Callithrix jacchus: one gene and its partner. The protein of the gene in region 1 interacts with the protein of each later gene in a pairwise test. Links are inferred from orthologs where the notes say so. Each region holds a gene or a part of one and is shown on either strand. Other genes may lie near its edges. The genes, in order: DAB1 and MBNL1.

Region 1 (3,826 bases):
TATGTGACATACACACACACATGACATCTATGCATCCCAGTTAGAAATGTAAGTTCAAGATTTTCCTTTGTGTTCAAAAAGTCACTTTTTTTGGCTTCTTTTTCTCCTTGAAAATAAGCACAGGGGAGGGAGAGGCTGTCTTTTACTTTTTTTTTCTGCATTTCTGTTTGAACAGGGCGCATACTTGACCCTAAGAGAGATCATCTCTCTTCTCAGCACCGAGCTACAGATCTTGAAAAGAGTCCAGAGAGAAATCTATGGGCAGAAGTGTCTCTAGGGCACTCTTTCCTTCCTCCCAACAGCTTCTATGGCATGAGCCAGTTAATCAGAGGGTCAGCTTGCCCCATCGCGGGTCAGAGAGCCCTCCTCATAGCCTTTCTAACGCTTAGAAACCATCCTTTAGGTCTGTGCCCAAACATTACCAAAATGTCAGTCCCCACCTCTGGTTCTTAACTCAGAGAAGCCACCTCATTATTCACATTCTCTCTAATGAACTCCGAATATTCAAGAGACTCTTGAAAACATTCAGCTCTGGGATCAAACTTTTACAGGCTGTGAAGCGGGCTGAGGCAGGGGCAAGAAGGGAGAAGCGGATCTTCAAATCCCAAGATACCGATGCCGGCCAAACTTCTGTTAGTTTTTATGGAAATTTGCTCCTGGAGGGGCTGGCAGCCCTCACCCTCAGAAATAATCTTGGTCTCTCTCCAGGTTTTGCAGTCAGTGGATTCTTCACAGGTCTAGTCATTCTAGAATCTAAAACCCCAACTAGTTTCAGAAATTACCTGGTACACAGGATCTTCAACATCCTCTTCCAAGATTGTCTATTGCAGATCAAGGAGAGGGAGGGTGAAAAGCAGATGACATAAAGAAACAGATGTGAGATTGCATTCAGAAATTACAGGACAGTAAAGAAACCAGCTCTGGGCAGAAGAGGCTGGTGGCTCATCAAGGTAGAAAAAAAATACAGCAAAGTCAAAACCCTCAGAGCTAACCCCACCTCCACCCCAACTGTTAACAACAGCAAAAGCAATTGTGTTTCTTTGTCCTCTACCCCTGAAATCTTTCTCTGGATTCAAGATTTCACTTCATCCAATATGCCTAGAGTTTAAGAGAACAAGGGATAATTTCTAATGGTTTGCTTTGGGTCCTGTAATTTACACAGGAATCTTTCATCTTTGTTTATTCCTACTTGGCAGCAGGAAGAGAAGGCGCGACTGTCGGTTTTCACATGTGTTTATTTGAAGCCCCCATCTTCTCCAGCACAAGGATAAATTCTCAGGTATACCTGGTACACAGCTTGTTCACACTGCTTATCCTTTTGTGCCTTTTTTTCTAATTCTTCTCTTTGCTTCAATTCGTAAATGAGTTGAAAGAGATCTCTCAAGTCCAGAATAACAGGTTCAGCCTGGAGTGAAAGGTGGTAAGGCACATCATAAGGGAATGGTACTGAAAGGCAGCAACCAATTTTTGTTTTTGCAGTGACAACTTGCAGCCTTTCCTTTTTCTGTTAATCTGAAAGCATTCCATTCTTAATTAATTCTACCTTGTTTATATTGGCTTAGCAAATTGCATCTAGGCTAAAGTTCATTTCTTCAACTAATTATATTTGCAAATTCATAATAATCATAAGCATAAAAGGCATTGCTTTTATTTATTAGTGATTTAGAATACAGCAAAATTAGGGCAGACCTTATGCAAAACAACTATTTGTTTTCTCCTATTTTTTTCTTAAATGAGGTTATGAGCACAAGGAAACTTATTTGTATATGGTGTCTCCATCCAGTTTAATCAGAAAGGAAAATAATTAGTCATTAGGAAATACCCATTAGGAAAAAAAAAAAACAAAACTGGATGGGTATGAGCATGTTTCCTTGCTCCAAGCCTGTTTATCTTTTCTAGATGGGAATGTGAGCGTCAACTTCAGTGGAAATACATTGCTTGGTCATATCTCAGAGTGGCCTCTAAAAGACCGACGGAGTCACTGGACTGCCCCCCAGAGTTCCAAGGAAAGGCTCCTTTCTTGGATAGGGATACTCACCGCCTGGGCTGTTTTTATGGCCACAAATCTATGATTCCCTTCCTTCCCACAAACATATCCAAAGGCCCGGTGATCTGTAATGTCCTTGGCAATGTAGGATATTTCATGAACAGCATGATGATGCTGAAGGGCCTATCAGAGAAAAAAAAGAAGAACATATTTCAGGGGACTTTCCCTTCGAGCTGTTGATCAGTAAGAAATGTGTTTCAGCTATGTGTGAACAGGCCCAAAGGGCTTTGGAAAAGCTGTTTAGTCCAGATGGAAAGAAAAAGAGCTATGCCTGCCCTTGAGAAATGGAGGCTTCCCTCTATGGTCTTAATGCTGTGACCAGAGAGAAACACAGGATTGTTCATATGCTGAATAAGCATCTGCTTCGGTGCTTTATCAGCTTGCTAGAGCTAGTCAGTTTAGTCCAGTGGCTAGGCTTCTGTTGGCTCTTCTTTCATGGCATACCCCAGTCCAACTTTTGGATTAACATTTAATATACTGAAATACTCAGGGACTCTGTGTGCTGTGGTGGAGGATGTACACTGTACAACTCCAGGGAGTATCGTTAACATTCATAGAACTATGGATGTGCCTGGTGACAACACCATCCAGCAGATGGTGATAGAGTGTGTTGAGGAATAAACGCTTTTTTCTGTTTAGTCCAGAGTCACCACTGGGGGTAGAGGTGGGGCTATGCATATCTCTCAGGCTTTTCATTGGTAGGTCCCTTTGTCTGCAGTATCAACTCATTTTATTCACTTGCCCAAATCCTATTTCTCTTTCAATGGACACGTGAAATAGAACCACCTGTGTCAAATTTCCTCTGAATGAGGCTTGCCTTCTCTCTCCTGACAGAAATAATTCCACCCTCTTTTGTGCTTCTGTAGAACTTTACTTTCCAGTAACACTGAACTGATAAATTCCTCCAATGTTTGTCCCTGGATTTCCTTACCCTCACAGGTCTTCCTTCTCTGATATATTTGCATAATTCCTTGTCTGTCTTTCTCACCCAGTTCTGTCTTCCTTATCCCTGCCATCCTAGCACCTTACACTATGCCTGGCCCATAGTTGTTGAACTAAAGTAAACTGAAATTGATAATTAGTAATTTGAAAATCTTTTATAATTGACCTTCATTATCTGAGCTTCAACAAATAATGCTCACCATCCTATTGGGTAATGGTGATCTTTATGGTTATTTTCCTATATTAAACCTACTTAAAACAATCCTCATTCAACAGTACCTTGTAAAGGCTTATATATACACCTGGGTGCTTATGGTATGTTTAAAGTCCTTATACGGGGCATCATGAGGCTTGAATTTTAGCTTCTGTGTAAACACGAGTCACCCACTGTACCCCTCTGTACCTCAAGTTTAACCCTCCAGTAAATGGGAGGTGTAAACCAGATCAACGGCTCATAACTCAAAGTCCTGGATCTATAGGGTTCATTAAAGGTAATAAAAAGAGGCCCCATGCAATTTTTAAAATCTCAAAAAACTAAACAGAAAACTGTAATTATTCCTAATAAGTCTACACATTTCTATGTGCATGCAAATAAAAATGCCAAGTTTGTTTGAAACTTTTTTTTTTTTTTTTTGAGACAGGGTCTCACTCTGTCACCGAAGCTGGAGTGCAATGATGCACTCTGTGCTCACTGTAACCTTTACCTCCCAAGCTCAAGTGATCCTCTGGCCTCAGCCTCCTGGGTAGCTGTGACTATAGGCATATGCCACCACACCTGGCAAATGTTTTTGTAGAGACGGGGTTTTGCCATGTTACCCAGGCTGGTCTCAGACTCCT
Region 2 (3,826 bases), on another chromosome or scaffold:
CAAGACTAAGCATGCACAATAAAGGCACTACTGAGTTGTTATTGGGAGGATAAACTCCTCTTTGTAGTTAATTACGAACAAGATACTCTAACAGAAAAAAAGAGTGAAAGGAAGAGAGGAGGAGAGAGTCTGCCTTCTGTATTTTTGCTCAAGTATCCATAAACAAACACAGAAAAGATCTCTCTCGTGACTATTTCACTGTGTTATGAAATACTACACAGTGACCTTTAAAATGAATATTTCATTGATTTGTCATATATTTAGATTTAAAAATGACTACATTAAAACAGCTAAGCAAAGAACAAAGAATGGGCTCATTAAAATCAGCTATTAGATCACATTAAAATTTACCTTGAAAATATAGTTTAGTAGCTATTCTTAATGATCTAATTTTTAACTCCTCGAGTGCTACTGTCTCTCTCCTTTCTATAGAATGGCATAGTCAAGCTTCTCTAATTTACTATTATGTTTATGCCACAATATTATTTCAGACAATCTAGATAGTGTACTGTTCAAAATCCTGTAGCTAATTTTAAGAACAATTTTGTTGAAACAATTCTCCTAAATAGTTCCAGATCATGTTATTGTTAAAAGCAAGATATATGTAAAGAAGAGCCTTGATGTGCAAAAGAACACACCAAAGGAAAACAATGGCTGATTAGATGGCACACAGAAATAAGAAGACCGAAAATGGCAGTATCGTTAAATTGAAAAGGAGACAGGTGGTTCTTTACAAAGCAGAGATTTCAGAAACCCTACATCCAGAATAAGACAGAGTAAGAGTTAGGCCAAGAGTAGGAGCAATCTAAACCATTTGAGGAGTTACCCTCACTTCTGTGAAAGTAACTTCTTTATATGTTGTCTGGGATACCTGAACAAACATATCTTCAGCAATTTTTTTTCAAAAGCTTAATAAATGAATAGTTTGTAGTCAGATATAGTTGCTCACTTTGCTTTTCTGACTGCTATCAAGGAGAGAGCTGATGTTTCTACTCACCATGGCAGCTGCGGTGGCTGCAGCCTGTGCAGCTGCAGCCTGGTTGACCTGGTATTGGGCAGCCTTGATCTTGGCTTGCAAATGTGCAGGGGGATGAAAATATTTGCACTTTTCCCGAGAGCATCTCCCTTTGATGTAATCCATACACACAGTGACTGTGTTGTCATTGGTGTCAATCATTGTGCTGTCAGCAGGATGAGCAAACCGACAATCATTTTCTCCTCTGTTGCAATTGCCACGCTGGTACTCTCGACATACCTATGAGATCATTAAGTACATGAGGTTTAGTCAACATGAACAACTAGAAGCTTTCTGAAGACTTTAAGTGCAAGCCAAGTGATAGAAGGCTGTAGATGAAAGGGGAAAAATGATTTTCAAACAATGCAACAATGTAACTTCAGCCTTTCCTAGATTAGTTACAAATTATAATTCCATTTCAGTATAAATGTCCATAAGAAAGAAAATGCATTTATAACATTAATTATGGTAAAAATATAATCTGAAATGGTGTTGATATACTTATTAATTGCAAAGGGAAAAACAGTAACTTTAAAGTAAAGAAACATGACCGATATCACTTTAACCAAGTGACCAAAATTAACATCACCAGTGATACATAATGACATTGTGTACCTACTGATATGATACAATGAGAAGGACACACAATCAAAGTAGTGGTATTACTACCTGAATTTAATCAAGAGGAAACATCAGATGAAGTGAATGGAAAGATACTTTACATAATAACCGAGTAGTACTCTTCCAAAGTCTCAAGGTCATGCAAGACAGATTGAGATATTTTCACAAACTGGAGGAGCTTGGAGTCAGAGAAAGAATATTGGGAGGACAACTGGTAAAATTTGATTAAAGTCTGTAGATTACCTAACAGCAGTATATCAATGCTATTTTTTCTGGTCTTATGAGATTCCACAGTTATATATGATATTAATGTTTAGCTCAGTGAAGGGTTGACAGAAACTCTTGGCTCCATTTCTGCAACTTTTGGGTAAATATAAAATTATTTCCAAGTGAAAAATACAAAAAAATCAAATTTGATAGCTTTTTATGAAAATGTTTGAAGGAGTTATTTTTTGATCTTTAGAGATTCACTTGGTAGCTATATAAACCAGTAAAAATATTTTGGTTTTGTTATTGTCTGTTTGTTTTGTATTTGCTAATTCTGTTGATTTTGCCATGGAGATCTTAAGGAAAAAGAAAAAATTGATTATTTCTCATTCATCTGCGCAATTTTGACTCTTACTATTTTGGCCGAGGCGGGTGGATCACGAGGGCAAGAGATCGAGACCATCCTGGTCAACATGGTGAAACCCCGTCTCTACTAAAAATACAAAAAATTAGCTGGGCATGGTGGCGCGTGCCTGTAATCCCAGCTACTCAGGAGGCTGAGGCAGGAGAATTGCCTGAACCCAGGAGGCGGAGGTTGCGGTGAGCCGAGACTGCGCCATTGCACTCCAGCCTGGGTAACAAGAGCGAAACTCCGTCTCAAAAAAAAGAAAAAAAAAAAAAAAAAGCTGTCTCTATTCATGATAGTTTGACCGTTTTACCACAAGAGGGCCATCTAAAACACAGAATGTCCTTCTAATACTTCTCATGCTCTTCAAGCTTCAAGGAAACAGTTTTTAATTGTTGAAGTATCTTTCACAAGTAGTAAAAGAAGATACTAAGCACTTTATTTTGAAGTTAAGCAAGAAAGAGAAACTGTAACTGCTATGAGTTAGGAAGCAAAGGTTTTCTTGAATTTGTAGAAATAAAACGATTGCATTTAAATCTGGGTATTTTCCCCCCATTATATTCATAAACTATTACGAGGAAAGTGCTTCTTAAAGGAGATAGTATAATTTGTACCACACTACATTTTTAAAAAGAACATTATAAATGATATCTTGCACTACTTGGAAATCTCAAGCTAGCTAAAGTTTTGTGTTCCAAATACATATAATGAGCCAATGTCATTCATCACCACACACAGACTTATTACAAATACAAAAATGACTTAAAAATTTATTCATCATTCTGTTTTTTTGTAGTGTATTTATCTTATTGAACAGAAGAAAAAAAGTATAAAACTATAACCAAGATTTATAACTTATAAAGCAAAAATGATCAAGCTGTTACCCAGAATAATCATCCTCCTCTCCAGCTGAACATTAGAATAAGCTATGGAGCTTACAAAACAGTACCTAGTACCTAATCAAAACTTATTGTATGTGAGGCTCATCACTATACTCAGGAAGAGTGATGTGCCTACATTAAATAATGATAAAAAGGTGTGTGTGTGCGCACGCGTGAACATGCGTATACACACCAAACATAGACTACTGCATAAACAACAGGGCTACTTTTCTATTTAAGCAAATCTACGTCAGTGTAGGAATCACCAAACAGGAAACTTGCAGAAGGTCTATAACTGATCTCTTCCGGCTGCTGTTCACTCCTCAGTAATTCCTGCTTTCTTGAATATGCTCAAAATGTATCAGGAACTAACATTCCATTTTTCCAATTTAGTGTACTCTTTGCCACATTAACAAGAAAAAAGACCTGAAGTTAGTCTACTTTTAGGTTCTGTGTGTATTTGTGTGTGTATGGCAGGTGGGGGGGGGGTAGTTCTATAGGTTAGGAATTGGTTTATTATAACTTTACATTCTTTACTCTCCTGTGGGATGCATTTAGAAAGAATTCTAAAAAATACTTAGGCAGAGTTAATTACTAAGAATTAGCTTAGAATGTGTCCTAAAACCAACCTTTTCTGAGGGTAGAAGAACTTAATCAATCAACCTCTTTTGCATAATATGCATGTTTGACCCTTTC

The links.
Region 2: the proteins of DAB1 (region 1) and MBNL1 interact in binary tests that used the Homo sapiens proteins (3 or more experiments, as listed by UniProt). The link is inferred for Callithrix jacchus from reciprocal best matches to the Homo sapiens genes DAB1 and MBNL1.

What each region holds. Positions count from the first base shown.
Region 1 is NC_133508.1:94,158,850-94,162,675, forward strand, and holds part of DAB1 (disabled homolog 1), read right to left. Parts: intron 2,171-3,826; coding exon 2,039-2,170; intron 1,406-2,038; coding exon 1,286-1,405; intron 822-1,285; coding exon 783-821; intron 1-782. UniProt on the Homo sapiens protein: Signaling adapter of the reelin-mediated signaling pathway, which regulates the migration and differentiation of postmitotic neurons during brain development.
Region 2 is NC_133518.1:32,892,433-32,896,258, forward strand, and holds part of MBNL1 (muscleblind-like protein 1), read right to left. Parts: intron 1,256-3,826; coding exon 998-1,255; intron 1-997. UniProt on the Homo sapiens protein: Mediates pre-mRNA alternative splicing regulation. Acts either as activator or repressor of splicing on specific pre-mRNA targets. Inhibits cardiac troponin-T (TNNT2) pre-mRNA exon inclusion but induces insulin receptor (IR) pre-mRNA exon inclusion in muscle.